2 linked regions of the Oreochromis niloticus genome follow. Each later gene encodes a partner of the first gene's protein in a complex. Links are inferred from orthologs where the notes say so. Each region holds a gene or a part of one and is shown in the gene's direction. Other genes may lie near its edges.

Region 1 (16,171 bases):
TGATTAACTGTTGTGTTTCACAACAAGATGTTCTTGAAAGGGAGATCGACGAGTGATGTGAGTGATGACAGTCAATCAATAAGCCAGATGGGTTCTTTCTGTGTGGACTGTCTATGTTCCCTCTCTGGCTTGCTCCCACAGTCCAAAGACCCCCCCTCCCCCCGACGAGTCCAAATCTTACTTTTTAACAGTAAACTTAAAGCTATTGCAAATGAGACACTAGTATTGCCTGCTATAATGCTATATGTGTACATGCTATCTAGGGGGAAATTGCTAGTTGGATTTCTGGTGAGACCATGACTTGCAGTTTGGTGGTGCCACACCCAGTGTGGCTTCTTCACAGGATCTGTTTTTGGCAGTGGGATCCTGTACTCAGTAGGCTGGTTTTATAGATCCATGGGGTGTTTTATTGTCTGGTTTTACTGGTTTACTGGTTGTAGAAGTAAAGTGTGGAGGCTGAAATGAATTTCTGAAAAGCTAACACTAAAATGCCAAAAACATTCTAAACTCTTTAAACTCTGTGCTATTTCTGTAAATGTGCATGTTTGGACGGCCACAGAGAGTGAGAGGCATTTAATATACAGTCTATATATATATGACTCACCATCCTTCCACAGTTGTTTGACTGTCTGCCATTTTTTTTTTTGCTATAAATGTAAGAAATTCTTAGTTAGCCACATTTTTGATGTCATTACTACAGATTTAAATGATTAGGGAGAGCACATGAGACCACACGTCCTTGTGAGAGGCATTTTAATTTGGAGGCAAAACATCAGCACTGCTTTACTCAAAGCAAAGCCACCCAAAACAAAACACGGCATTTGAAGGGATAGACATGATCTGAACCAGTCAGTAAGCTGGACCAAGAGGCAATAAAACAGAATAACCACTGTTCCTATTGGTCATCACAGAAAATCTCACACAATGTACAATTCCATCAGAAAACAGATACAATCTTTGCTATTGTAAAGGTCTAACCACAACATAAGCACACATCTGCATAAATGATCTTACTCCACTTCCAGTCTGGTTTTCTTCTTTTCATTTTTCACATGGAAGCCAAGACTGGATGACTCAGAGCTGTTTGGCAACAGCTCAGGGGAAGCTGGAATTTGATCCACATTAAATTCAGTGTAGCTATACTGGAATTCTGGTTACTATTCACAGTTCGTCTGTCGTAACATGGAAGTGCAAAAGCAGGTTATGTCACCAATTTTGGAATGTCTTATCTCTGCGTGGACTTGCTTCTCAGTTTCTGAGTTATGGCTAGGGATGTCATAATTGAGTAATCTGAATATGCATTATGTGAACAAACACACTAACAGTACTTTTTTCACATTCCACAAATTTCAGATCTGAATATCGTTATTATATCAAGGTGAGGATATTTGCTGACATCTCATTCCTGCTCAACATATGCCAGCAGACACAGAATGACTGACAGGAAATGACACAGGAATGTTAGACAAAAGACTCTTCATACACGTCACAGGGTTTTCTCAACAAGGGAAAGTTTAGGAACAGAGCTCAAGTGTTTGTGGTGCACTTGAAGCCCAGTGACACAGTAGTTACTGGACGTGACAGCAGTTCTAGTCCAGCAGCAGCGTTCAGTAGGAGAAAAAAAGGAGTGTTTCTGAACATTACAGGATGTAAACCCCGCTTGGCAGGTTATACTAAACCTATGATTCAGGTTTTGAGAGAAAACGAAGCGGATCAATTTAAGAAAAGAAAAATTAGTCTGTGAAACACAGCACAAGCCTCATGCGTTGTTGGCATTCTGCCGTATCCACAGATTGTTAAAAAAGAGAGAATTTGCTCCCAAAGCTAAGAATAATCCACTGATGATCTCTTTGGTAAAAGGCTCAGGGTCATTTAAGGACCCAGCCACTATAATCAGCCACTAAAGTTCCTGTTTTACTTTTATCTACATTAAACATGTTACTACAAATCTAGATTACTGCTCTTCTCCAAATGTTGCTTTAGTTTTTAATAAGCCCTGCTTAGCTGCTTATCTGCATGCAGTGTGCTTAAATACAAGTTAAAAAGAGTATTTGTGTCCTGCATCCGTTTGACTAACACACGTATTGTCACAGCGTCCGCCCACTCTTTCTACCTGTCACCCAAGGATGCTGCATCATGACCTCAGCCACCTACAGACACACAGCGCTCAGTCTGTAATTCTCTACTTTGATTTAGATGTTTGCCGCTGCTCAACATCCTGTACGCCCCTGCACAAGTGCCGAGGTCCCATCTGAGAAGTGAAACAGAGAGCTGCACCATCTGTGAGAAATACTCCCCCCACCCCACCACCATGCCGCTGCACACATGTGACTGACTGCACAGCTTGTATGGCTGCAAACGGCTCCTAATTCACCAGGACTGTACATTAGACGAGCTGACCTCCTTTACAGTCCCTCACTTCAACTCTCATTCCTGTGTTTATCTTCAGGGAGGATCACAAAAACACACCCGATGACAACGTGATGCAGTGGTTAGCGCTGTCACCTCACAGAAACATATTGTGGGTTTGATTCTGTAGGCCGGGTGGTGCCTTTGTGTGGCATTTGCATGTTCTCCCTGCACCTGAATGTGTTCCCTCTGAGTACTCTCTACTCTGCTGCGGTTGTAGTAAGAGAATTTATGAAAGGACTATAATTAAAACTAACCGATTGTAGTCTGCACACAAAACTGTGCCTTGTGCACACAATGCACCCAAACGACAGGCACTTCTACACTGCAGCTGGAAGCCAACAAGCTGGTGAAAAAAAGACGGCATACAAATGGAAAGTTGATGCTGCAGGCAGATACGTTCACAGGTGGGAGGGTGAGAACACGTTTTCAAGGAACAGTTTCCAACACTGAATGCACAGAAGACATATGAGGGCAAAAATATTTATATCTTAACTAAATATTTCTCCGAGCCACCCGTCACTGAGACGGTGACACTCGGTTTGGGTCAGGGACATGAAACAAGTGGTTACGACGACATTTAGATGATCCTAGAGCATGTCGGCGGGACTGACGTGTGACGAGTCTCATTTCCCCATGTGGTCCTTAGTGAAACTGAGTCTGACACCCCCGTTTCATTTCATTTTTACTTTTTATTTGTCACGAACCACAAACAAGAACGCGGATCTCAGCAGATACGAGACACCTCGTACCAAATTTAGCTCCTAGCCAGTCTCTGGGCAGGTGAACCCAACGTTAAATAAACTAATATAAACAATATCGAAGTTAAAAGTACAAAGTTCATATAAAATTGGAAAAGTCACCCAGCCCCACCCCACTAACAACACACACACATTATACAATCTTTATGCACGCATGCACATCCACTTCAGTAACACTATGCCACCATTATACGGGATAAGCACAGCATAAAAATCCAAAGGACAATGATTTAACAAAAGACAAATAATGCTGGGTTTGATTACTGTTGCATGAGTGGATTTATTGGTTTACACTGTTCTCGCAAACTGCAGCAGGGGCCCCAAAACCAGTTAAGCCAGCCTTGCTATCTTAAAGGATAAAACCATGGATAAAGTAACTGTCAAAAAACCAGAGGAGATGGTGCAGCTTACAACACGCTGTCACAATTTTAACCGTCAGGCCTCAATGAGGCAGACAAACACAATGCAAGTCCATGCTTGCTCTACATACAGTTAACAAAACTGTAAGCCACTGAAGGCCCATGGAACATAAATCTCTGCCACATCATGATCTCACTGAGTGAGACTGATTTATTATCAGAACTGCTTTAACTGCACAGACTGATGTTTAAGCTGCTGTGGTTTCGTTCATTCCTTGTCATTTACAGGTGTACTGGCAGTTGAGAAACTGAGGAGATCAAAACAAGGCACCACTGAAACTACTCTGATTTACCAGACTTCAATCTTTAAACTGACCAGACAGTAGTCAGCATTCATTCAATGCTACAGAGACGTTTCAGTGTCTATTAGAAAGTAGTGAGCTTTAACTTGCAGCCCTGAGACAGAAAGAAAGAGTGTTTACCTCCAGGCTCCAGCAAAAGAGCATGTGTGTTCTTCTGAAAAGAAGCACTATTACAACATTCTGGGAAAAACACTGAAATAGCTGCTATTTGCTGATGCAACTTCCTGCTGATCTCTGCACAACTGCAACGCGTCCCAAATCCTCACAGTACTCCTTCTAGACAGCAGTTCGAGCCAAAACCACAACACGCTGAAATGATAAATCCACTTTGGTTCCACTAATTTAATCCTTACCGTATATACACCAAGTATAACTCCTGTTCTCAGTGTGGTGTTTACAGCAGCAAACTGACAAAGATAATGAGCTCCACTGACTAAGTGCTGTATGAATAGACTCGATTCTGCTGCGCTAATTCTAAACCTCTCTATTAGAGCACGTGTCTAAGTGCTACAGTATAAACAGTATTTGGGTTTAACAGTAACAGTAACTGGCGTTAGTCCTCTGATGGCTTTTATAATGCTTGTTTGAGTGTAAAGGTGTGTATTTCTTGTCCTGTCTTATGTACTACAGCAATGTGACCACGTTCACATCTTCCAGCTGTGTAAGTGGGGTATGCACACATTTTTACAGTAATCCGTAAGCAGACTGTAATTAAATTTTTCTTCTCTTTTCAAGTTATACAAATCAAACTCATGACAGAAGAAGGGATGCCTCTTCAGATGCTTGAAACAGGGAGTAAGTGATGTCACTTCCTGTAAGAAAAGTTGCTATTCCAGCATTAGCAACAGCTGCCTATACACCAAAGCAAACCATGACAAAGAAAAATAGCTCATCAAAGATGGAGTCTATAAAAGAGAGGCTGACAATTACCACAACAAAGCACATGTCGGTGTCAGCAAAGCGTTTCACTGATTCTATTTTCCCTCCACTGTTCTCATTTATAGTAAAGAGCTTGGTACTTATATTATGCTTATGCACTTGAGCTCCTTTAAGTGTGCGACTGTACATGATCTGTGTGGGTCAGAAAGAAGTGTTAGTCAGTCAGGGTTAATGGTACGATCCCCCACCTTTACTAGGATTCCTGCCAATGTAAGCAAGGTAACGCTGAGTTACGTCCAAACATAAATCCCACATTCACTGGAATTTCTATACAGTTCTTCTAATCTGGTCTATTTGACCCTATTAGCATAAGCTGTGACCTTTTATGGAAGATCAGAGTATGAAAAAACTATCTTCCCAACTAGTAAACAAACACTTTACCTCCTGAGCCATAAACTACAGACTTCAGCACATCTGTCATTTGAAACAAAGGTCTTCCATTCCTTACTCTGTGCCGGGGAGTTTCTTGTAACGTCTAAAGTTATGCAGTTACTTAAGAGGGTGTGATACTTCATTGGGTTGTATGGTGTTCACACACACACAGACACACACAAAGCATGCATGTGTCCATGTTCATCTGCTAGGAGTGACTCAGTAAATGCATTTTGAAAATCTGAGGAGTTTTTCATGCTTTTCCAAATTTCTGCCCAGACTGAACTTGTACAGTTATCATTACTGATAAAAGTCATGGACACAACAATTACAGAACACAGGACTCATGTTATGAAACAACAGAAATGCAGTAAGATAACAGGCTTATTTTGTATTTCCAATATGGATATATTATCTTACTTTATTTTTAACATCTAAAAAATGATATCAGTATTAAAACTGAAGGCAGTATCTTTAAAATGTCTTGTTTTGTTAAGTCTCAAATACCCATTAACAGAAGTAAACTGTTGGAAAAGCAGTAAAGTTTCTTTTGTGTGGCACTGGAATCTGCATACACTGCACATTTGTCCCCTCTTCCCTAAAAAATTACTATGATTAGTTTGCAAAGATAGTTTTTCTGTCTATCAGCCAGTCATTTAATCTAATGTCAGATTTACTTCACCTTTTATGCTGGCATTTGATTCCTGCAAATCTGTCCACCATACTGGGCTGTATTCAGTGGAGGAAATATTGCGTATCAGTATCTGCATGTTACTGCTGAACACAGCAGTGATTTGATCCCTACAAACTCATATTACATAAGCCAGCCAGCTGACACTGAGGTACAAGCAAATCTCCAAAGTTCCAGCACACCTCATACAGCTTTCCAAGGCAGGTAATGTATCACAACCTTCATTTATTAAACATAATCACCATCGTAACACAGGTCTTCACTAAGAGAAATGGCTGTGTCTTAAAGGTTCCTCCAGCACTGAGTCACAGCTGCCTTCCTCAAGCTTCCCCATGTGATATTAATATATTCGCTGTTCCCCAGTACTTTGGCTGCCCACCAGCTTTCAAGAAACCACGTTATGAGTATGTAAGATAGGCTTGGGGTGTGGATGTTTGTATACAGATGGGAATCAAAAGCAGCACTGGGCAGCTATCAAACTTCCAGTTCCTGCATAATAATAAGTATTGTGGGGGCAGACAGGGTGGAGCTTTTTCACCCAACCCACAGTGACTTGGAGAGAAGGATGTTCAGCTGGTACTTCGTCTAATATATTGATGAACTGTTTGTGCATGGACACAGGCTGCTGCGATCTTCCGTGCATTTTATTCCATTATTTCAGGCTCCTGAACGCTCTGCCGGTGGTCTCAATGTTGATGCTCAAACTACCCACGCGTGACAAAATGGAATCTATCAGCAGCACACAACTCAGTTTGCAACACAAAGTGAGGGCGTTGCAGGCACGCCTCCAGGGTGTCCTGATCACTCGGGCCAGACTTAAGACAACTATTTGAATGCCACAGAAATAATGTAAACGATGTGCAGCCCGTTCCCACACATCTACACAGTCACAGAGTGCTGCTGTAACGTCCTGTTTCTCCATCGACGTTTAAGACCACTGTCTGTCTTTGCTAAAGTGTGGACGAGTTACTGAACAAAACATGGAGAAATGTGGAAAAGCCCAAAATTAAGCACCAAAAATCCTTTGAAAGACAGAGCGGATGTTCCGCCGACTATCCGCTTGCAATAAAAGACACCAAAGAATGCGGCGACGAGCGCTGCCAAACTGCTGAAAAACTGGATTTAAGTGTTCAGTTACAGAGTTTTGGTGTGACTGAAAGGCGGCCGAACAAAGTTCGAGGTTTAACGCGTTAGTTAAACTGTGTAAAGACGTGTATGGTGCGGTGTATGCTAGTTTTCTCTAAAGATTGCCATCTTTGAAGCTGTTTGACAGCGTTCCTTTGAGAGCGATGTGATTATCTGATCCGAGCACGGACAGTGAAGTTTCCACAATGCTAATGGTGTCAGTAAAAAAACACACACACAAACACAAAGGACCACTGTCGCTGCTGTACTCACCCAAACTGTTGGTAGAGGAATCCATAATCCCAGTTTAAACGGTGTCTCCTGTTTCTAGAGGAGCAGCATGCACTAAGGTGTGTTTTCCATGCTGACAGCAGAGAATCACAGCCCACACTCTGGAGACTTCAGTCGATTGACAGGTCTAAGAATACCGGAAACGCGAAATTTTCCGCAACATAAAGCGTAATAGTTTATTAAACGCACGGGTGTGGGGGGTACTTATAAGTAAATCGAGCTTAAATATAAAATATAGTTCGAAATTACTTTATATAAAATGAAAAACTAAAAAACAATCACACCACAGACTGAAAACCGCTTCCGGAAGTGTAGCCCCTCGTTATAGCTAACTTGACACTATTGGCGGGAAGGCACCAGGTACGGCTAAAGGTGCTGCCAGATATTCGCCTCAGTCATAGTGATTCAGTAAAGAGGATTTCACAGTGTCCGCATACCAGAACATTTCACAGAACTCTTACAGCAGCTTCTTATGGCTGCAGCTCTGCAGTCATCATCTGACAGCTAGAAGACGAGCATTTGTTTCCATCTCGTGGTGGCGCTGTGCACTACAAGCCCTGAAACCTGTGCCAGAAAGTGATCGCCTGCATTCAAACGGCTATAAATAACTTGTTGGCCTATAAGAAATGAAACGTATATCACATGCATCCCTCATGAATGATATCCAGTCGTCTTCACCACACACAATATTCCTGTCACAAGGTAGAAGCTTCAATTAGTTTTTGGTAAAGTGACTTTATATATCCTTTATTGATCCAGTTAGAAAGCGTAATTGACGTTAAAAATGTCCTTTTGTAACAGTGATCTGACGTCATAAAGATACCCGCAAGACAGGTGATTTATTTATTTTATATAAAACGCCTTATTACGGAAGCGTAGACCTGCCATCCAGGCAAAAAATAGAGCTATATCACGTTGTAACGTGAAAATTTTTATTGTTCTAATAATATACTTGTTTGTACAATATAGCATCATGTAAGTACAATATAATTTTCGCGTTTGAACAACATAATATCACGTTATTACAATATACATAATTACCACGTTCGTACAATATAATATTTATTGACAGATAAATATTTATTTATTGTAAGAACGTGAAAGGTTTTTTTTGTTATAACGTGATAATTCTGTATATTCTAAAAACGTGATATTATGTTGTTCAAACGCGAAAATTATATTGTACAAACATGAAAGGTATATTGTTAGAACAATAAAGTTTTCACGTTATAACGTGATATAGCTGTATTTTTCTTTTGCCTGGGTGGCAGCTCTACGCGTCCCTTCCCTTATAACTAAAATCTCTTTTAGTTTTTAGTTGTGATTTTATTTGTTTTTGTTTTTGTTGTTGTTTTGTTGTTTTCCTTATATAGCGATTCTATAAATGCAACGTTGTGTCACCGTGAGTGTATCTGAATTCAAGGGAATTTTAATACTCCATTGTCAGCCAACATAAGCTCGACAATGGCTGCAAAGTGGTGACTCTTGCCTTAAGAAATATCTCCTGAATTAGACTAAACTGACAAGAACACGACAATGATTTTTTTTTTTTTTAAATTTAGTTAGCGTTCTCTTTTCTTACTTTTGTTTAATAGTTTGAAGAATCATAGCTACAACGCGGATAATAGCATTGATTAAATAATAATTTTCCTGCATTTCAATGGAGAATATTTACTGCGCTTATTTGCGGTTTTACGGAACAATCATTTCTGTCACTGTTTCCGTTGTTTGGGGGAAGGAAACGCGTGTCGGACCGGAATGCTGTACTGGCCTTTCAACATGGTAGCGTACATTGACAGCGCTTTCTGAAGGAGACTCTAGTCTTGTCCGATTGTCGGCATTAATGGTCAGTATTAACTTGGTTATACATTTTGGGGTAATAATAATAACTATCCTTACTACAACGTTTGAGCAGCTGACGAACTAAACTTCACAAAAATGTGAAATGTAAAGTTTTATTGTTCTGTACAAATATTTACAGCTGGATGAGGTTCACCGAAGAGTGAATGTGTGAGCTTCACGTCCGTGCGCACTTCTGTTCTCTAACACTCGCTATGATGGCTCGACTATGAAGGGCAGCCGCTGCCTGCATCAGCTCAAGTCTCTGCGGCTGCTCAGCCACGCAGGGAGGCTGCTGCCTCCTGCTGCTGGAGACAACGGCGCTCTATTCCGGCCACGCTCCTCGAGTCAGCTCGGCGGCTTGCAGTGCGCACAGCGCGAGGTGAGCTTTAGCAGCGACCAGACTTAAGCTCTTAAACCACACTGATATAACCGCAGAGAAAGGCAGCTGGCAGTCGACTCTTTGTTTGTTGTTAATCAATAAATAATCTAATCAGATCATATGAATGAATTTTTATATGCGTTCATAACTAAAACATGTTGCTTTTAGGTGTTGAGACATTTCCACAGCAGCCCAGCGTGCACCAAGGGTCAGCCTGCACGGTTCGTTCAGGAGGAGGACAAGACGAGGGACAAATCTCTGGTCACCCACGATGACCTGTTTGAGCAGGTTGCCAAAGAAGCCAAAACCAAGGCCACATTTAACAAAGTGATAGACGTCTACACCAAGGGAGACATAAGGCGTCGAGGTCATGTGGAGTTTATCTATGCTGCTCTGAAGAAGATGCCAGAATTCGGGGTGGAAAAAGACCTCACTGTCTACAACAAGCTGCTGGATGTTTTTCCTAAAGAGGTATTCGTGCCGCGAAACTTCATCCAGAGAATGTTCAACCACTATCCCCGTCAGCAGGAGTGTGGAGTGCAGGTCCTGGAGCAGATGGAGAATTATGGTGGGTGTCTATAGTTTTGTGGTAGTTGCTGAGAATCTTGAGGTATTCTTTACACTGTTTTTGTGTCTAAGTGTCAGTGTCTGTGCTTCAGGTATCATGCCCAACATTGAGACCAAAGTGCTGCTGGTCCAGATCTTTGGAGAAAAGACCCACCCTATGAGAAAGTACCAGCGTATCATGTACTGGTTCCCCAAGTTCAAGCACGTAAACCCCTTTCCTATTCCTGAGCAACTGCCTGAAGACCCAGTAGACCTGGCACGCTTCAGCCTCACTCGCATGGCAAACGACTGGGATGCAAAAGTGACCGTCTACCAGGTATACGTGTGGGTTAGCCTAGCTTAGCATGAAGGCTGGAAACAGTCTTTGACTTTTGTCATCAGATGTAAATCTTGTATTTACCAAACTCTTTGTGTGTGTGCTCTCCTCACAAGCTGCCCTGTACAGACGTCACAGAGAGCGGCGCTGAAGTCACACTTCCACATATAGTAGGTATGGATGACTTGAGAAACTACATTCTGTGTTTTAGTCAGAAATATATTGCTAATAAATACTAATAGAGGCATAATTTCCATATTTGTTGTTTGTTTCTGTCTTTCCTGTGTTTGCACCAGGCATCCAGAGCCCCGGCCAGATGGAAGCGCTCGCTAAGCACAACCCTGACAGACCCGTGTTTGTGGAGGGCCCCTTCCCTCTGTGGATGAGAAAAACGTGTGTTTACTACTACGTCCTCAGAGCTGACCCTACCCCACCTGAAGAGAAGGTGGGCGAACATTACTGTTATCCATTACAAAGTGGGTAGTGGATAATAAATGCTGTGTGATGATCATATAACAGTGTGTTTGAATTCTAATGATTGTGGGTTATAGCTCAGAAAAGTCACACCCAGAATCTCAGATTCTAGAATATTTCCTAAGATCAATTAAAAACAGGATTTATAATACAGAAATGTCCAGCTTGGTGTGTTCATTAATACACTCAGATATTAGGAATGCAGCAGTTGTAGCTGCTTTCCTGTAGACATCTGTGCATGCTGGTGTTTGGGGAACTGACACCACCCTCACTCCACTGCCTGTGAAGCTCTCCCCGGTTCTTCGGCTGGCTGTCATCTGCAAACAGCCGGCCTTTTCAGCAGTGACCGCCTGTGTGTTCCCCTCATTGTAGACTCTGATGAATATAGAATATGTGAATTAAATTACAAAAACATTCCTCCTCCCTCCCCCCAGATAGAAGAGCCCTATGACCCAGAGAGGTGTTTGAGCTATCCTCTGCAGCTAGACCTGGATTTGGATCGCGACCTGGGGGACGATGAGAGCTTCGATGTGGAAGACTGTAAGATATGGCATCACTGCTGTTGACCACAACCCCTCACTTCCAGGGTGTAACATAGATGATCTGTGTCTGTGTGTCTATCCAGTGGATGAAGGTCCAGTCTTTGCCATGTGCATGACCAGTCAGGGGGACCAGGCTACCCTCAATCAGTGGATCTCTGGCCTCCAAGAGAGTAACCCCATCCTAGGTCAGATCCCCACGCTGTTCCGACTGGGCGCTGGACCCCGGGAGCTGCAAGGGGTGGGCGACGCCGACTCGGCCAGTCGATCCTGGTTTCCTTCACACGTCCAAAGAGAAGAAGCACACCCTGGGGAGGAAGCTGAGGCTGTAGTGGAAGAAGCTGAGGCTGTAGTGGAAGAAGCTGAGGCTGTAGTGGAAGAGGAGCCCAGGAGAAGCCAGGGTGTGAAGCAGTGAACAGGAGAAAGTTTCCTCCTGACTCCCTCCCAACCAGCTGGGAGGTTTTTGTAAATTCTTTTTAGCATATTTAATAAAGCCATACAAAATGATTGCAAACGTATTTATTCAGTCACAAATGTTTGACTCCCTTAAAATACAGCAGACTATCTGGGGAAGTACTAAGTACTAACTCCGTATGTGTTCAGATGAAGTCATTATAGCTGTGCAAATAAACAATGATGAAGTCAAGTTGTCACAGTAAATGTTGACTTCCATTTACGTTTGGACTCTCTTTAACCATTGACTGTTTTTCACTACTATTGAAGCTCTTGCTGTTTTTGGTTTTTGACGTCCGTACTTGATTTTGGTTTACTTGGTTTTTGCTGTAATGACAACAGCTCGCCACGCAGACTTCAGTGAGCTCACGCTGTCAGGACTGTTTGGCTTTTTCAGTCGTCATGACGTTGGGGTTGAGGTCAGACTGTGGAGGAAACTTTGTAGACTCGTCTCATCGTCTGTGGTCTTTCAGCAGTGGAGTGTCTGGTAGGGTTTCTCTAAAACCATTTTTGATTGTAGTTTTGTTAATTAGCAAAATGTGTGTTTGTGAAACTGTTATTCCATCTCTTAGTAAAAAAAGCTCCTGATGAGGTGCATCATCATGCTCTGCATCCATGCATTGCCTTAATGCAGTGCATTGGCAAGTTTGCACTGCTCACACAAAGGTCACCCACAGCTGCCATCGCAGGCCCAGGGTGCAGCCACACTGGTGCTTCGTCCAGGCTCCATCAAATGCAACTTCAATGGATTCAATAAAAATGATATGGTCAATGTACAAAGCAGGAATTTTGTGCTTTTTAATGTGAAATTCTTAATATCTCTGATGATAATGCCACACAACTGCACTGGAGAAAACAGAGTTTAACAAAAAAGACAAAGGATTCGAATGAACAGTAGAAAAAGTTTATTACTGAAAAGGCATTTAAACATTCCCTTTTAAACTGGCAGACAATCACGTCTGATTTTCATGAGTGATCTGGTCACCACAAGCTCTTTCCACTGCCTTGTGGCTCCACAGACAGTGTTCAGCTCCTCAGCTTTGTGCTCAAATACAAGAATATTTCAGTGTTGTAGTCTTCATGAAAATCATAGAAAAATCATTGAAAAGCATTCCAGAGCACTTCATCCATTTACTACTTAAGTAGGAAAGCCTTGGATTGATAACATTCACAAATGAAATACTTTTCTAACATGGAACTTTCTACAGATATGAATAATGCATCATCAACGATCACTTGCGTAAGAGGAGATTCAATAAATAACAAGGCTGCTCCAAATATTGTGGAACGGCACAGAAAAAGTCACATTTGGCATGTCATAACCAGCTTTATATTAGTCTATTTACAGTGCTGCAGGAGATTTTTGCAGAGGTGACAAACTGTCCCTAAGAAAGTTGTCTGGGTAAAAAACGTTGCCCGTAGAGCAGGGGTCCCCATTCCCAGTCCACGAGGGCAAGTGTCCCTGCAGGTTTTAGATGTGTCCTTGATCCATCACAGCTGATTTAAATGGATAAATTACCTCCTCAACATGTCTTGAAGTCCTCCAGATGCCTGGTAATGAACTAATCTTGTGATTCAGGTGTGTTGACCCAGGGTGAGATCTAAAACCTGCAGGACACCGGCCCTCGTGGACTGGGATTGGGGACCCCTGCCGTAGAGAAACAGGTCAGGGTGTGATGCAGTAGCAAATAGAAAAGAATTGCAGCTCAGTTCCAGATGCCCCATTCAGTGATTGAGAAACTATCAAGAATCTAGAGCAGACTAACCTGAATACAAGCCTGCAGGAAAATCTGCACACTAGCAGATTCTATCAGCTTCCAAATAGTAGAAAATGTTGTGCTGATGCTGTTTTTTCTATAGCTGACTAATCCCAGGGTTAAATATTAACTTAATTTATAATTAACTATAAATGTCACATTGACAAAAGCCATGGATGTTATCCCACGGCTGCTTATCAGTGAACAGGTAGTGTGTCTCTGCACAAGCCTGCTAACTGCCGTCTACGAGTTAAAAGCAAGACTGACATTAGAAAGAAGGATGACCCCGTCCTCCAATACAAACGTATTCAGCAGTAATGTTCCTCAGTCCCGTGCATTCAGCCCCAGTTTGTGCTCTCAGCAGCTCAGCCAGCAGGTTCCACCTTCCAGGAGTTTTCAGGAACTTTACACAATCAATATTTTTCTTTATATTTGGTGCTAAAACACTTCCCACTATGGAATTCACAGCCTGGCCACTGGTGCTAATTTTATGACTGAGCTTCTGAGCTACTCATTCAGCAAGTCTTTTACCCCCATACTACCTATTATCCCGTTTTTCCTTGGAATACCTATAGTGTCTTCCCAGGATGCTGAAATGTTTATCCCTGCAGAAAACCCAACAAGGCAGAAGAGAGCAGTAAGGAATGTACAAACTGGCTATGAGTATGCTCCAGCTGGAAAACACAGGTTATATTTTATTATGGTGCCCACAGAGGTCATGTGATCAAAGAAAATGTTTGTGCAAGTCTGTGATTGGATCAATAAATTAAGAACAGAAAGCTCAGTGGCCTAATAAACAGATCCAGAATCCCATTAGCTTAGCCTTCCCAGAGTGAAGATTTCCAAAATGTAGTTTCCTTTATATAGTAATGTTTCACTCCAACACTCATCTGAAGGTGCTGTATTGTAAAAAGCAAAAATATTATGGAGAAGTGCAATGATCCCCCATGAGCAGCAAGAGTGGGGAGGAAGAACTCCTTTTGAACAGGAGGAACGTTCTGGGAGAAGCAGGAGCAACCGTTTGCTGCAACTGATTGGGGGTGAGAGAAAAAAAGGAGCACAGCGAGACCACGAACAGGACAAGGGAAGGACTGACAGCAAAACTTGGATGAGGCAGCTTCAGTATAAAAATGTCCTCACTGCCTTTGATAAACATACACAACCCTGGCAGGAAATGAGGTAAAGCTGCTTTAGGGCCTTCTTGTCCAAGGTGTCTTCCTACAGAGGTAAACACACTGATAAAAAAAATACAATAAATGAGAGAAAGGAGGAGGGAGGGTTTGTGTCTCCCGGTCCATGGTCTTCAGTTCCTCCTGCAGCCGTCTCTCCAGCTCTTCAGTTCTTGTGTGGTTCTGCAAAAGAAGTCAGACAGCGTTGTTTCACTGATCGGTGCAGTCAGGTGAGTTTGCACTGTCAACTATTGTATATAACTGCTGAGCCAGCATTGCTACCATTACATTATATGAATATATGAGGCGATTAAAGGATATACCTCATTGGGGATCAGTCGTACAGATGAGGCTAACAGATGCTCTTTTGCAGCTACTTTTAACTCTGCTCTGTTACAAAGTCAGGTGACTTCTTGTGGTTGTGTGAATAAGTCTGAAATGTCTGTTTGACTCGTCACTTTTCCAACACCCTTGCAAACACGGCTTAACTACGTGATCCGAGCACATACTGTACCTGCCACAGGTCTGCTGTGCTGCTGCAGCTGGCTGCTGAAGAAGCGTTCCCGCCGGGACACCTGCTCATCCCAGGCCTCCCGTATTTGCTCTTTCTCGCCGGGTTCCAAGGTCAGGGTGTGCGGGTGGGCCTCGTCAATGTGGGCCTTCACTCCCTCTAGGCTGTGGGAATATTGCAGTTCCCCACACACCATGCACACCAGCAGCTGGTTGAGTGGGTCATAGTCCATGAGGTAGCGGCTCCTCCACACAGCATCGGAAACAGAATCCTCCTCACTTTCAGCAAACAGCAGCTCTGACTCATCTGAGAAGGCAGTTAGAGAAGAGTTTGTTTTTGGTTACTTTCACTATTTTATGTGCATTCCTTCAAGTTCAAAGTGACATACTTTACCTTCGATTGGCGCTGTGTAATCCGAGTATGTAAAGGATGCCGAGTCCACTGAAGAGCTGTGAAGGGAGATTTTTGTGTGTTATCCTGAATGTTGATGATGCTGATGTCAAAAGAAAGCGAGCAAAAGAAATCTCTCACCTCATTAGATGTTCTGACTCCTCAGAAGAGTTCACCCACTGACCAGGTTCCTATAGATATTAGGCAAAGAGTGAAAAACTAAAGCACAGGCCACGCGCAGTGTTTTTACGTGCTTTTATGAGCTCCCTGAAACAAGGTGAACCTAGACACAAGTCAGACTGGAGAGATGCTTAAGCAGAGTTCCTGTAGTGGTGTTTGTGGTGGTTTTGTCACTTTGACATTATTTTGTGTATTTTTGTAGTTTCTTTCTGGTGCTTTTGTGTCTTTAGGTCATCTGATTTACTTACAAACAAAGGCTTTGGTAAAGAAGCTGGGGGCACGAGT
Region 2 (15,481 bases), on another chromosome or scaffold:
ATTAAATAACTGCAAAAAAACAAACAAACAAAAACACAGCACTACAATGAGGAGCAAAATTTTAAGTGTACTGCAAAGAAAAAAAAAAAAACATTAAAAGTTTGTTTTCTCCATACATTAACAACATAAGTAATCACCAAGCCTACTTATTATTAGCTTGCCTATGCTGCTCTATAAAGCATTTACGTATCTTTCTTTAATAAGTAGTATTCACATGTCATAAATGACAAAAAAAAAAAAATCATCTCAAGGTAGATTTCTTCAGATCTTAGTGAGTAAAAAGCGCACACAGTGCTCTGCATTATCTGAAAGACTGTATAAACACAACAAGACAAACATTAAAAAAAAAAAAAACGATGTAGTCCTGAGTGGATGAATACATCATATTGCTGCAGGTCTATTATAGACACATATTACCAGCACCTTGCATTAACAAGTCTGTAAAGATAACAGGCGAGTTCATCATTATTAAAGTGATTTAATTGTAATAAAATCTTTAATTGGTATTTTGTTATGGCGCCCAGTTAAATGCTTCAGGAAACATACACCCATAGAAAAACAGCAGCGAAAGTGTTCTTGGAATTAAAAGGAGTATATGATCTCTTGCTTGAGCCTAGATTTGGGTGACGGTTCTTTTTTTTTTATGACTTTTATCTTTATTAAATGCCAACATTTTGTGGAATGGATTTATGTGTACGTCAGTAATGAGGGTCACAGTCTTCCACCATGCTGTCTGTGATGTAGTTGACTTTTAGCACCTCCTGGTAATACTCCTTCTCTACTTGTGTGTTGACGGTCCAGGCTACAACGTCGACACCCCTCTGGGCCCAGTACTGCACATAGTCCCTGCAGACAGGACACACAATCGGTGAGTGATGTTCCTCTGGTCTGAATGACCCGATAAAAACCTTTTAAGGATGAGTACAAAGCAATGACAACTTTTTTGGTATAACGTAAAAAAATGATGATCCACAACAATAAACCCCAGCATGGAATAAGACAGTTAGCAGCGCCATTAAAATGCACCTCTAACACATCTGCACTCTAATGAAGTCATTGCTGCATATATAGAATATAAGACTGTATGTTCCAGCTACAAAACTCACTGTGAGACAAAGTTCTTCTGTATCAGGAACGCCGAAACGCCACAGAGCTTCCACAAAACATGATGGTGTGCCCAGTCCAACAAGATGTCCATGAGAGTCATCCAGTGGTGTTTCCACAGCGATGAGAAACGCGGGGCACCGTCCCCGAACCGGCTCAGGCTCCAAGGCCGGTGGGTCAGTGCTGTGACCACGTCTGGGTCACTCTGTCTCATCTGGACACAAAGTGTTGGTGAACATTAAAACAGCAGCTACAATAGAAACATATATGTGGGAGAGATAAGCATGCTGTTTTGTTATAGAGCAATTTGTGTATTTTTTTCCCCCTCTTTCTGAGTCAGCACTATTTATTAGAATACCGTTTTAGTCCAGTATGGATTGTGAACCAAATAACTGCATGTTAACTCTTAGACTGTGCAAAAATAAGTACAATTAAAACTGTAAACTACTTTGAGCCACATGTCAGCTGATGTCAGGTCATCTTAGCGTTCACTTTAGTTGGTAACAAGTGAATGAAAATGGGAACCAAGAGCTCAGGCACTAAGAGCTGTGTGCTCATACTGTTTAATTAGTCTTGTAATCCATCACCTAAATGTGTCTAAGAGGTGCAAAGTGTAACACACAGATATCCGCTTATCCTACTCAGGGTTGCGGAGGGCCTGGAGCCTGTAACAGCTGCCATAGGGCCTGAGGTGGAGCACACCCTGGACAGGTCTCCAGCCTGTGGCAGTGCTAACACAGAGGCAAAAGCATTCATACTTACATCCACACCTACGGCCAGTTTAGAATCAGCAATTAACGCAACCCACCAACTATGATAGGAAGCCAGAGTACTCAAAGAGAACCCACAGAGACATGGGGAGAAAATGCAAACTCCACACAGAAAGGCCCAGGCCAAATGCTTGATTTGGACCCAGGACCTTCATACTATGAGGCAACAGTGTTAACCACGTTGCCAACGTGCTGCAAGTTTAAAAAAAATCTTCTGAAAGTGGTCAGGGTTCATAATCATGCATAGAGAACTTTGAACTTCTAGTTTATAGTAGAAGTTAATTAATGTAGGATAAATAAGATAAGCTGACCCACACAAACATGTTTCTACATTTCTTCTGTTGTTTTTTTGTTTCACTGTGTGCAGCCGAACTGTCTGAACTTTGTGCATCTTTACTTTTTGTACTTTTTAAGGGTGTGTAATTGCAGCTAAGCACTCCCTTGAAATTACCCCTTTGGGGACAAACGGTGCTACGTGACCTGAAAGTCACCAGAAACTCTTCATGTCTGTAATTTGATTCTTCATACTACATATTAGTTTACCTCGGTGTATTTTCTTCTAAATTGTAATTTTCCTCTAGTTGGACGAGATCATATAAAGAAAACCACAGAGAAAAATCCCTCCTGAAAAATAGTGTGTTTACTGACATGAACTAAGCTTTAAACTCTACAGATATGAGCCGTCTTACCCTGTAGATGACTTTGGGCTCGAAGGAGCAGACGATGCTGCTGTTGTAGAGGACCGGATGTTTCTTATACAATTCTTTTAGAGCTGCGGCTGCCTGAGTAGGAAGAAGAAACAAATGGTTATCGTAGGTCATTCAGCTGTTTGCAGATTTAATGTTTTTGCTTGTGGGTGTTCCTCTCCGACCACTAGGTGGTAATTAGCAGCTGTGTATGCACAGGCACGCGGACCAGCAAATCAGAAACGTCACTATGCGAACCTCCAACCACAACTGCAGCTTTCCCTTCCTTAAAAACGTGCAAATGCTGCACTTAAGGAGTTGAGTAACTAACCTAACTTTAAGCTAAGAGACTGCTGCCCTTGGCTCAGTTTTTATGTTGCCAACACAAACAAAGTTACATTTAGTTGTTAAAGAGCAAACAAACAAGGAACGTCTAACAGCACGCAGAATGTTACCACACAAACAAAACATTACTTATCAGTGGTGCTGTCCTCAATCTGTGAGAAGCTGTGTGTGTGCGCGTCCGTGTGCGTTTTAGAGGTTTGTAATTTGTTTGAGTACAGACAAACCTGGAACATGTGTTCTGGACATCTCTAAGTGCATCAGTGTTTGACCTAGTAGTGTTTCTCCTCTCTGGATATTCCCAGTATGACTCTGGCTTGCCACAACTAATTTTAATGATTAGATTTGTGTAACTAATGGAGTGGTGACATGTATTATAGGGCCATTCTATTGGTAATGAATAAAAAAGTAGAAATAATGAAGTGGTGGACTTGTGATCATTTTGTATCAAGCCATCAATTAAAATCAACACACATGATGCAATCTCTCAGTTTTGTTGGCCTGGTTTACCTCATCTGGATGACCTTTGACATCAAAGTAGATGGTTAGCTGCAGTTTGATGCATTCCTCCACTGCCTCCTCCAGGGTGGGGATCTTCTCTCCTGCAAACTTGTCCCTGGTGGAAATAAAACAAGTAAGACTCGTTTTAACTGGATTTCTTTTTATATTGTGCCAGTGATCTTTCATACGTCTCACTACACAGTTTGCCCAAGTCACTGTTATACTTGTTCACTCTCATCTAGCATAATTTTCCGGTTCTCCGCCATTTACCTGCTCCGATATTTCCCTGGGCTATATTTTTTGTTTGTTTTGAGAAATGTGTGTGCAACAGAAATGTATGTATGTGAGTTTAGAAGATCCTTGTTTACGTGTGTGTTTTGTTGATGTTTTTAATGTGTATTGAATGTTTTGTGTTTTGGAGATGGAGTGGGTCATCGATTTGGAAAGTCAGATATTTGATCCTTGGCACATCCAATCTAAATGCTGTCCTCAGGCAAAATACAGTGTTTATCTAACACAGTACAATCAAACTGTCATAGAGAAAGTATTATTTGAACATGTGTGTAAATTGGGTTTGTGTAAATCGAGAAGCAAAAACCTATTAACTTCTTGTTAAGAGTCTGAAATTATTAGTTTAAAACTGTTGTACATAAGCACGAATTATTCAGACGAGTAACCACTTTGCCAAGGTCTTGACGAAGACACACACAGTCAATCTTAGATGAGAGAAAATAACCCAGGAATCACTGAGGCTCAAACCAGCATAGATTGAGAGGGTGCTGGCTAAGAAAGAAGACACTGCTCCAAAACTGACACCTTGACTGCCACCGTGGCTGACTAAGAAAGAAGACACTGCTCCAAAACTGACACCTTGGTCAGCCACTAATCAGAAGGTCGGTGGTTCGATCCCAGGCTGCCTCCTGGCTGCATGCCAAATATCCTTGGGCTAACCCCATGTTTGCTTACTGGTGGTGGTCAGAGGGCCCGGTGGCGCCAGTGTCCGGCAGCCTCGCCTCTGTCAGTGCGCCCCAGGGCAGCTGTGGCTACAATGTAGCTTGCCATTGCCAGTGTGTGAATGGGTGAATGACTGAATGTAGTGTAAAGTGCTTTGGGGTCCTTAGGGACTGAGTAAAGCGCTATACAAATGCAGGCCATTTTGACTGCAATTTGCAGCTGTCCACATGGATAAACCAAAAGCCTTCAAAACAAAAGTTTTATGGTCTGATTAGACAAAGATTGAGCTCTTTGGTCACAATGCCAAACATGCCAAGAGACGTGTTTGTAGGAGTGACGGAGAAGCTTTCAAATCTATGAACACTGTACTAACTGCCAAGCATGGTGGTAGTAGCATCATGCTCTGGGGGTGTTTTGCTGTCGGTGGTTCAGTGCACAAATTGGTTGGAATAGTGAGCATTGTTAATATGGAAGTCTAGTGTAGTATATAATCTTTATATTGCTGTGTTATTGTAAAGTCATATAAGTTAAAGTAAAAAAAATAAAAAAAAATGCATATGCCCCCCAGTGACTAATATATTACTTTAAATGTTGGATATGATCCAGTAGAAACTGAAGTATTTTCTTATTTGTGTGACCCTGACCTTTGACCTTGAAGCATTACATACTAGAATATGTGTATTTTGTTATCTTTACCCATATGATTGGAGCAGAACTGGCTGAAATCTTTGGCATTGATAAGCTGTAACAACTTTAAGATAAGATATAATCATCCAGTGTGTGATTTTGCAAAACTTTATGCCGTCATTGTGACATCATATGGCATCATATTGGAAAAAAAAAAAAAAAAAGTGTGTTGTACAGCTCTCTCCATGCGCAGTGAAGGCCAAGGTGAAATGCTTGACCACCTAGGTACTCATTTCCAACAATGCCTAGTATATTGCTATAAAGTTTAAAGACAAATTATAATTTGTGGATAACAAAGTTTTTACTGAATTTCACATTTGATGTAACCTTGACCCAATGTTCACTAAAATAAAAATCAGCTCAAATTGATCAAAATAAAATTTAAAATGAAATCTTGTGTTGTGGCTTCTGTGTATGCTAGACCGCTAACAAACAGACAAACTGAGCAGATTACATACATCCTCCCTTCGAGGGGGAAATTACCTTATTTCAGTGGATGTTTAAACCTGCTAGTATATTAGTGTGCAAGAACCTGTATCACATTAAAGCACCTCACTACCGTGTGCTTTGTTTGTGCCTTCCTGACTATATGCTTCTTTCTTACCTGAGTCGATGTTTAGCAGCTGCATCCAGTTTAGCCAGCTCTGACATTTTCATCTTGCTGAGGAATCCTGACCCACTGGTGGTCCGGTCCACGGTCTCATCATGCATCAGTATTGGGACGCCATCTGCTGAGAACTCCAGGTCCAATTCCACACCAGTCGCCCCATTCTTACTGGCCTTCAACAGAACAGACAATTTTCAGCATTGGATGTTTTTTCAGATGGAGTTGGTGGTCACAAATCTGCCCTAAAATCCACTTAGAAAAACAAACTTTGCAGCTTAATTTTCAACTACTGTACGACAAAAGTAGACATAATGGCCACGATCCATTTGAAGAAAATTTTACTTGACTAGCAAACTGATTATATCTGTACTCTGTGTTGACCTATAAATGGGGGTATATTGCAGTTACGAAATGCTGTTTGAAAGGGAACACCACTGCAACAAAGTCTGTACACTAAAAAGCACTAGCAGGTGTATTTTTGAGGTGTAATTTCTGGCTCAGCACACTCGCACCTCATATACACCTGATATAAGCATGTGGTCTGTATTTGATATCTTTATTTGTATAAATTAAAACCAATACATGGGACTACGCATATCCAGATGGTATTAGATTAATTATTACTCACATCTCTTTACTTTATCTCAACATGCAGATTAGTTAAACGAGGCTGGCTAGTTGGGAACTGGCTGATAACATTGTGATAGAAGGTGCTGCTGGAACAGTGGTGGCCTTAAAATGCATGTTCTCTGTGCTGATAAGTTATCCAGATACAAACTGGGTGTGAATACCAGAAGTTAAAGACATCGCAGTAGTTCCCCTTGCAACCACTGCCATAAAAAAAGAAACAAAAAAGGGCATATGAAGGATTATCGCTCCAAAACCCTCCCCACCTCATTCTCTCACCTCTCGGATAGATGCTATCGTGTTCTCCGGTGCATCGTGCCCGCCGCCCCGGTGAGCGACCACCGACACCTTGCCGGTGCCCGCCGTGCCCTTGACTGGGTGGAGCACCTTCTGGGTTCGGCTGGATGGTACCTGTGGGAAGCGGAACATGGCTAGAAAGAGGTAGAGAGAGGCGGTGAGGACCACTGTCCACACCGGGCTTCGGGTCCCCAGCAGGATCCCCACGAAGATAAGGGAGTACAGGGTCGCTTCATCTCCCAGCTGGACCATCGTTGTCCTGTCTTTGTCTTCTCCACCTGTCCCACAGCAGAAAATAGCACCTGGCAGGAAATGTTCCGCATTTAAGGTGTGGGACGTTTACTGTCCTAATTTTAGTTTCTTTAAACGACCTAAATGAGATAAGAACATGTTTTGCCCGGCGATAAAACACTCATTACCAAGAGACAGTCCCCTGTCCGCGACTTAAAGGGAACTGCTGATTTACGCTTCCCGTTCCGCATTTAAGCTAACACCCCCAAAATGAATTAGATTTATTCAAAATTATAATAAAATTGTAATTATTATTCTCACTGAGCTGTTACAGAGCGATCATTGACAGCTTTCTCACAGGATGTCTCGGAACAAAAAAAAGAAATAATTAAACATACATTAACATAAAAACGAGACGTTAAAGGTGAGCACATCCGGGTCACACCGCATAACTGCTTCCTGTTAGCGCTCGTTCAAGTCATGTCATTTCGTGATCCATCTTTCTTGTTTCTGCGTTTTTCTTTCATTTAGCTGGTCTCTGATCATGGTAAGCCTCGTTTTATATGCAAGCTCTTATCCAGCATTGACTGTTATTATCAGTAAGATTAATTTTTAGCCACACAAGGTCATTAGTGCTGTGGCAGGGCTGTGTGTTTTCTACAGTCATTGGTGACAGCTCAGTCAGGACATGTGCACCTTCAGGTTCTTTTATTCCACACAGCGGCTACACAACAGCTGCTGTACATGTACTGCAAGTGTTCGTCTGGGTATACCTCTTGTATTTTTTTAAGCAACTGCATAATATTATATTTTGTATATTACTGCAATAGCAACGTACAGTGCACAAAATAAGTGAAGTAGAGAGTACAGGAAGGCTGAGATGAGGGTCTGGGGTGATTTATGGCAGCAAGAGTGAAGGGGAAGGTTTGCAAGATGGTAGTGATGCTATGATGTATGGTTTGGACATGATGGCACTGGCAAAAAGATCGGAGGTGGAAGAGTTGTAAGAGCTTCATAGGGAGAGATCAGAATGGACAAAATTAGGAATGAGCGCATCAGAGGGAAAGGTCAGGTTCAACAGTTTAGAGGCAAAGTTAGAGAAGCAAAGCTGAGATGGTTTGGACATGTGCAGAGGAGGGATAATGGATATATTGGATAAAAGATGTTGAAGATGGAGTTGCCAGGCAGAAGCAAAAAAGAGGATATTTAGATATGACCGAGGATATACCAGGGTGAGGTGGAGGCAAATTATCTGCTGTGGTGACCTAAATGAGCCAAAAAAGTGCTTCCCTCATATTTTACCACCTGGCTTGATGAAGAGCTAAACCTGATCTTTTACAGTATTGGTTTCCAGATGGTATGCCTAGAGGCAAGTCCTCATTTGCTAATGTGGTAACAAGCAATCTATTTTCCTTCTGTGAGAAACTTTACCTACTGTCAAAGAGCTCAACCGTGTCTGTTAAACTAAATGGATGCAAGTTATATGCGAGTGGAGCTTATTTCCAGCCATAGAGCTGGAGCGGACGGGTTTGTGAACTGGTGTGCAGAGTACCACCTGCACAAAGTGGAGGATTCTATATCAGCTGGAGATGAGACCCCTATTACTATACATGTCCATGCCATTAGACGGGTTATGTGGTACAAATACTTACAGGTATACATTGATAATGCACTTGCTTAGAACACACATGTGGAAAATGTGTATGAGAATCCATCAATGTCTTCATTTTCTCCAGACTCCATTTATTTATTTATTTATTTATTTATTTATTTATTTATTAAATAAGGCCATTGTAGAGTTACATTATGCCATCAGTAGTTGTTTTGGAACAGGTCTTTATCTGATCCCCCACATGTGTTGTTCTCTGAGATTGTATTGATGAACCCTGGTAGGAAATACTGACAGAGAATAACATGTCATATTGAATTTATCTGTTTGATGTTATTTATTTTTCTACAGATCAGGTCGCTTCTTCGGTGCAGATTAACTCCCCACGTCCTGTCCTTCACCAGAGGATCAAGTCTGTTCGCAGCTCGAACACCTTACAGTTTGCAGCCTTGTTCACCAAGTCTCAGGCCAATTCAGCAGCGCCTACATGGACCTGTTATCCCTAAAATCACAGCCCTTGTTAATTACTCGGATGTGTCCACACAGAAGTACACTATGATTTACACCCTGCCATACATTAAGCTCCTTCGAGCTGTGTCCAGGCTCAAACTCCTCCAAACTGCAATAACTGTGGTCCTCTTGCCCCCGGTGTACGTCCTCTACTTCCAGGGAGCTGCCTCCGCCTTTCTTGTCGGCTACACGACAGGGATAGCTCTGTTTGCTGGTGTTATGCTGTATACTGCCAGTTACTTCTTCAGAAGGGTGGTGGGAATGATGTATCTGGATCCATCTCAGACCACGCTCAAAGTGTCCCACCTCACTTTCTGGGGAAAGCGCCATGATATGTACCTGCCAGTGTCAGATGTCATGACCATTGGAGACACAGGGGACTCCGTAAATGAGACCATACTGAAATTTAAGAGATACAGCAGTGCGGAGACTCTGTATTTCTCAACTCATTTTGGACGTGTGGTGGATGAACAGGCTTTTAAAAAAGTGTTTGGAAGTTTTTAAAATGATTATTTGTTTAAAAGAAAATGTGGAGTATTCTGAATAGTATTATCAAAATATAACATGTTAAGAGATGCATCTATTGTCCATGAACAATATTCTAAATGAAAACACATTATACAGCTTGCTGTTATATTTTATATCTAAGATATTTTAGCTGACATAGATCTGAATCATCCACAGTTGATAAATTACTGGTTTATTATTATTTTTCTTTTTTTATCTTAATTAAGGTTGAGAAGTAAGATTGCAGATTTAAAAAAAAAAAAAAAAAATCTGGACCCTAACCCTAACCCTGTGGTAGGTTAACAGTTGTCTACTAAATGGTGACTATGTATGCAGCTGAAATAAAAAAATCAAGTGAGATTGGCCTAACATTGTCCGAATATTCATGTTGCATCATTAGACCATGATAGGATAGCTCCACGGGTCACATGTCCTTCTTGCTGCAAGCTCCAAAGAAGTTGTCTCCTCCTGATATTGATTTTTTTTGTGTGTGTTAGGTTAAAGTGTAAACCTTAAAACTGTTATTATGTAAAATGCATTTTTCAACATTGTTTTTGATTGGGCTAGGGTTAGGGCATCCTGGCTGTAGAAACGGGGAATTATTCATACATTTTGCCTCAGGTTTGGTTCAAAGAAATGTCACTTTGGGAACAGTTTCTCTTGCTGAGTTTTTAGAACCTGCGAGTTTTCAGTTCTATCTTGGTTAAGATGTTTTCTGACATCTAGAAATAGAAGTAGAGCAGGTTAACTACCAGCTGGTGATTTGATCCAGGTTTCTTGGCTCATATCAAAGTGATTTGCAAATATGAAGGAGTGTGTATCATAGATAATAAGCTTTTATAAATGTTTTTTGAGTTCTCAGTAACAGTAGAAAAGCACTGCATAAACATTATTCCATTTACATTTACAATATCTCAAATATTGGCCCTGGAAATACTGCCACATATGACCACAGCTTCATAAAGCTTTTTATTTATTTACTCTTTCAAAAAAACAAGAAAACAAAAAACATATGACTCCACATGTCTCATTAAAAAAAGTGTTTCACTATGTTACTATGGACCTGGACTGATTTTAGTTTGTCTAGAAGTGGTACTGTGACAAAAATAAAACGATCATGAGATTTGCAAATCATTTGGATAACGATTGTATTCATAATATTAGAACAGAGCAAAAGAGAGGCACGGCTTTGTCCTGGAAAGTACAGGTGAATGTGACGATGGATGCAAAACACGACGTGTTTCACAAAAGGACTAAATGTAAACAAAGTAAATGGATATTGGTGAAAAGCAGACCACTCTGGTTCAGTCTCAGGGTGAAATGAAATGACAAAAATGCAATTCTTTAAAATCGCTGACTTCAGAAAAGTTTGGAGAAGTGTGTCTCGTGCTTGCAAGAATTCAAGATCTTTAATGAAAACTGAAATAATGCATATGCTGAATTCATTTCTCATTGTGTAAGGGGGAAACAAATTTCCAAAAGCGGTCTAAAAACTCATGGTGTGTGCAAAATGAATTGTTTGAACTTTAGGGATCTCTTTGCATCAAAAACCTTCAAAACTCCAAAAACATTCCCGTCAGTTTGACCGTGACAATTGAGCTCAAAGCTTAGTTACTGCTTAACGAAGGCTTCTTGTGCACCTGATACACAGTTAATGAACGCTCCACAAAAGCTGTTAAGTGTGTAGAGATCGTTTTGACAACAGGTGTTTCAGGTAAAAAAAAAAAAGAACATTAAAATTTGTGTCCACTTCAAATCCAAATGTCTTCACTTACACTCATGTGTAAGAACTTTCTGAGCCTAAAACTCTGCATAGATGTTTCCACTGAATTCTACACATCAGCAGCAATCCTATCAACTCCAGAGAAACACTCGCAATACGTAATTTATAAGCACTCACTCAGTTTAATCTGAGTCATCAGTATGTGCCTCTGGGGGATTGTTGGCTTTCTCTTGCTCTTTTGCACGTTTTTTTCCCACTTCCTTTATGTTTTGAGTTGCAGAACACGATTTGAAATTGATCCATACAAAATATTGGTGAATTTAAACATAGCACATGCAAATGCTGAAGAAACTTTATATTAGGAAGAAAAAAATCTTTAAACTTTTAAATTGACCAATAAAAAGTCAAAGAACAGAATTAATTCACAAAATATTTTAATGTTGAGTTGCTTCAGAAAGAATTCAAACAGATTTTTCTTGTTTTGTCTTTGCACACCTTACTGTGTTTATCTTTAAATGTATACAATAAAAACCCCACCATAACAAAGTGGAAACATGTTTTTAGAATCTATTGCATATTTACAGTCCTCCCTGACCAAGGTCCTCTCTTGGTTGGTTACTTTGCCTCAAGTGTTCAACTCTCATAAGAGTCCTTGACACTAAAACTGTTCAAAAACATTTTAATAACATAACAGAAGAGTATGCATTTAATATTTCTACATCCATAAAGTGTCGCTTAACTCAAAGTGCATGCATCATAAAATAGCTTTTCAAAGAACTGCATCACTGCAAAAGCTTTTTCACCGCCATAAGCTGTTTCAGAAGTAGAAAGACAGTGGAACACAGAGTGGGATTCATAGGGGAAAACTCTTGGCACATATTCAAACATTATCTAGTTTCTGATTAACTGTTTGGCACTTTCTGATAGTACCGGTCAAACTAAGGAAGATGAAGTTTGGCTGGATCTAACAGTGTCCATGACTCTTCTTCAGCAGATCAAGATGTGTCAGAGATCACATAAAGTACCAGGCAGTAAATCCAGCGAGGACAGCCATCCAGGCAGCCAGAACCACCTGGCAGGGCGGATGTCTGAGAAGTGTCATGGCTAACTGGCACGCATGCGTAGGATTTCCACTAACAGCTGTTCAGAGGAGACATGAAGATGAGAATACAGAAAAAAGGAGGGAAAAAAAACAGGACAATTGAATTAGGTACTTCATGTAACTTTGTAGCTATGAATGATGGTCTGACACTTTCCACTCAGACATCCCACAGTTATAAGGATCCCCTTTTAACTGAAGTCCATGATGACACTGTCCAATCTTTTAAAGGCAAATCTATAAACTATTATTAAACTGAGCACCAAGTTTTTAACTTTCTATCTGCAGAATGAAATGCTAGAAACAAATGTCATAAATACAGTAAAGGGGATGCATTTCTTACCCATTTTAGCTGCATAATACGGGCACTTGTTGATATCCTCACCCTCCATCATCTCTGCATGACTGTGTCCAAACCCTGCATCTTGGACCTCCTCTTTGATAGTTTTTCCAAGCTCTTCAAGTTCTGTGAATACCTTTTTTTAAATAATAAAATTAGATTTTTATTACCTTTAAATTTCTCTTTCAAACAATGCACCTTTTTGCAAATTGCTGTACATTGTATAATTCCTATAAGCAGTTTCCTCACCATCATGTTAAAGCCAAAAGCCCGATTAGATTCTTCCACAATCCTGTCTTTGGTCTCAGCATCCAGTTCCAGCTCATTCATCCTGCTTCGGTAAAGCTGCTTGAAGCCTTTGTGACTGTGGATTCCCTCAAACTGGTAGAAATTGAGACCTTCTCCTGTTGAGGGGAGCTTTAAAGCCCTCTGTGCCACTTTCTTAAGGATCTGTCCACCTGAGAGATCACCCATGTAGCGGGTGTAGGAGTGGGCCACTAACAACACCGGGTCCTTCTCCCCCACCTCATGGATGCGGTCCACATAAGGCTTGGTGCCTGCAGAGAGGCTGATCTGAAGAGAGAACACAACTGTGAAAGTCCAGTTGATACAAACCTTGTCTGGAGAAGATTTTTCTGTGTTAAATTTGATTAAATACAGCTTTTGGGATGATGATACCTGTATAATCATGACTTAAGTGCCAGAAAAGACCAGCCTCCTCTGTGACTGACATATATATCCTCCATATGCTTCCTACTGACCTGGTTTTCCCAGTCTTCTCCATAGAAATACTCAAGGTCCCGGGCCAGGGCCTCACGCCGGTGCAGCTCTGCGGGGAAATATATTGGAGCGATATGATGATGGTCTTTGTTCTTCTCAATCTCCTCCTCCATAGCCGAGTAGACAAAATATAGAGCTGCTGTGCCTCTCTGACAGCAGAGGGAGGAAAGAGGGGAGAATAAGTGGGTCAGAGTCAGACATAAAATGTTTCATCTAGCAGAAACTGTTAGACATAATATACAGTTAAATGGTGAAATATGATTTTATTTGATAAACTGATGTTCCAGACAGCTCACATTTTGCCAGTTTCTTTGGCAGCATTTTTCTGATCGTGCCTTAGAACCAAGGCAAAGCATAGATCAAGACTTTATCACACTGACAATACTAAATGTAGGCCTATGCCTCTAAGCACTTTCGATATACAGGGTCAAACTGAAGACCTTTGTGTGACGCTCTCCTGTATACAGTAGTTCATTACTTTCACTGGTTCACAGACACTTTAGCTGCCTTAATTCTTGCCTTTATATAGTGAATAATCAAACCTTAAACAGCTCTCTTTTAATGCGTCCCCTGAGGAAATCTTTGACAAACTGGCAGTTCTCTGCTCTGTCGTGGGCCTCCTTGGTCCCCTCGGCCAACAGCTCAGACAGGTCTGTTGGACTTGGTGAAGCAGAAAAGGACAGGAAGGGCGACACAAAAGAACACTTAGCCGTTTATCTGAATGACAAAATAGCAGCAAAGATAAACTGCTGCTTATTTAGTTTGTTTTCTTCATACCTGAGAACTTCATCATCATCGTCATCATCCAAAGCAATCATTGACCTTCCTTTGTTGGCACTGTTGGGCTCTGGTGGGAGTTCGCTTTCCATTATACTGGTTATATTTTGGCCTTAATAAGAAAAGGCAGAGATTTAAAGAAAAATGTACAGGACAAACAAATACGAAAAAAAGCAGGAAATAAAAGAAAAGATTTAAATCATCAAAATAAACAACTTGTCACCAGTTAAAATTATTTATTTAAAGTAAAAAATATATATGCTTATGTAGCCTAAATACGGTTACGGTTAAACAGCCTGTTTACACGGTTACAATATCGCTTTCTAACGTGACAGCAAAAGCAGTTTGTGTCCTTTAATGCACCACATTTCCCTGTTAGCTGAACAAGCGCCAGGTGAAGGAATTACTGTGTTATCCCTTTAACGCATCTTTTTAAAAACCTTAGTTTTGGAGAAATATTTCACAGGCAGAGGCCGATAGCCACAGCTGACATCTGAAGGGAACAGTTACAAAACTGACACTGCACGTACGTGTGTTTCGTAAGCAGCTACCGTTATAGTTACACTGTGCTGCTCACACGTTAAAGAGCCGCTCTGTATGTGTGAACACAAACACAAACAGTGTGTTATTACAATGTTTTAGGGATACGACAATGAAACGCTAACTCACCTTGTCACAACACCGCCCACACTGCTCGTCCCCAAACCGCAGGATTCAACGTTCACGGGACACGGCGTGACAACAAACCAATCGGTGGGTTCCCTTTAGTTGAGGCGCATTCTGATTGGTTAAATCCTCAGCTTATACACCAATCAAAGGTTCGTTTGTTGTTTTGATACTCTTGATTGGTATTCATCCCTATTGATGTACAACGTCTTATATTCGTCGTATTTAGGTTATTAGTTTGTGTAGATCCTGTGGGTTAATTGAAGATAGGTGTGATGACACTTCCACTCCAGCCTACTTATACACTGTTCAAAAATGCATACAGTCAATTAAACCTCTGTGATACTGATCTGGTCAGCTAAATAGCACACTAGCAGTTTCAGCTGCTTTGGTGTTAATGAAATTCAAAACAGATGCATTAGAGCAGCAACAAAGAGACATTGCCCAAAACAGGAGTCGTTTGACAGGTGGAGGCCACTGACTGTTTTTTTTTCTTTCTTTCTTTCTTTCTTTTTTTTTTTTTTTTTTTTTTTTTTTTTTTTTTTTTACCTTTTTTACCTTCATGCAGAAGTTGTACAGGTAGTCAGTCCAACTCCTCCAGGATGACACATTAATATGACATGTTCCAGAAGGTTCGCTGTGTCTTCCACCGCAGTCTCAAGGG

Evidence for each region.
Region 2: ecsit (region 1) and tmem186 share a complex: the UniProt entries of both Homo sapiens proteins name them as parts of the mitochondrial complex. The link is inferred for Oreochromis niloticus from reciprocal best matches to the Homo sapiens genes ECSIT and TMEM186.

The regions. Positions count from the first base shown.
Region 1 is NC_031967.2:3,202,276-3,218,446, forward strand, and holds ecsit (evolutionarily conserved signaling intermediate in Toll pathway, mitochondrial), read left to right. Parts: upstream 1-9,000; 5' UTR 9,001-9,155; intron 9,156-9,290; 5' UTR 9,291-9,377; coding exon 9,378-9,530; intron 9,531-9,698; coding exon 9,699-10,098; intron 10,099-10,189; coding exon 10,190-10,413; intron 10,414-10,529; coding exon 10,530-10,587; intron 10,588-10,709; coding exon 10,710-10,858; intron 10,859-11,321; coding exon 11,322-11,427; intron 11,428-11,512; coding exon 11,513-11,841; 3' UTR 11,842-12,366; intron 12,367-12,451; 3' UTR 12,452-12,655; downstream 12,656-16,171. Other genes in the region: eml3 (echinoderm microtubule-associated protein-like 3), read right to left, coding at 7,292-7,316; uncharacterized protein si:dkey-28a3.2, read right to left, coding at 14,972-14,988, 15,320-15,622, 15,710-15,765, 15,848-15,897.
Region 2 is NC_031971.2:30,536,041-30,551,521, reverse strand, and holds tmem186 (transmembrane protein 186), read left to right. Parts: upstream 1-7,278; 5' UTR 7,279-7,350; coding exon 7,351-7,353; intron 7,354-8,766; coding exon 8,767-9,429; 3' UTR 9,430-10,351; downstream 10,352-15,481. Other genes in the region: gde1 (glycerophosphodiester phosphodiesterase 1), read right to left, coding at 699-846, 1,107-1,318, 2,564-2,656, 3,413-3,518, 5,649-5,824, 6,558-6,827; hmox2a (heme oxygenase 2a), read right to left, coding at 12,168-12,295, 12,598-12,730, 12,844-13,167, 13,356-13,523, 13,917-14,034, 14,152-14,243. UniProt on the Homo sapiens protein: As part of the MCIA complex, required for efficient assembly of the mitochondrial complex I.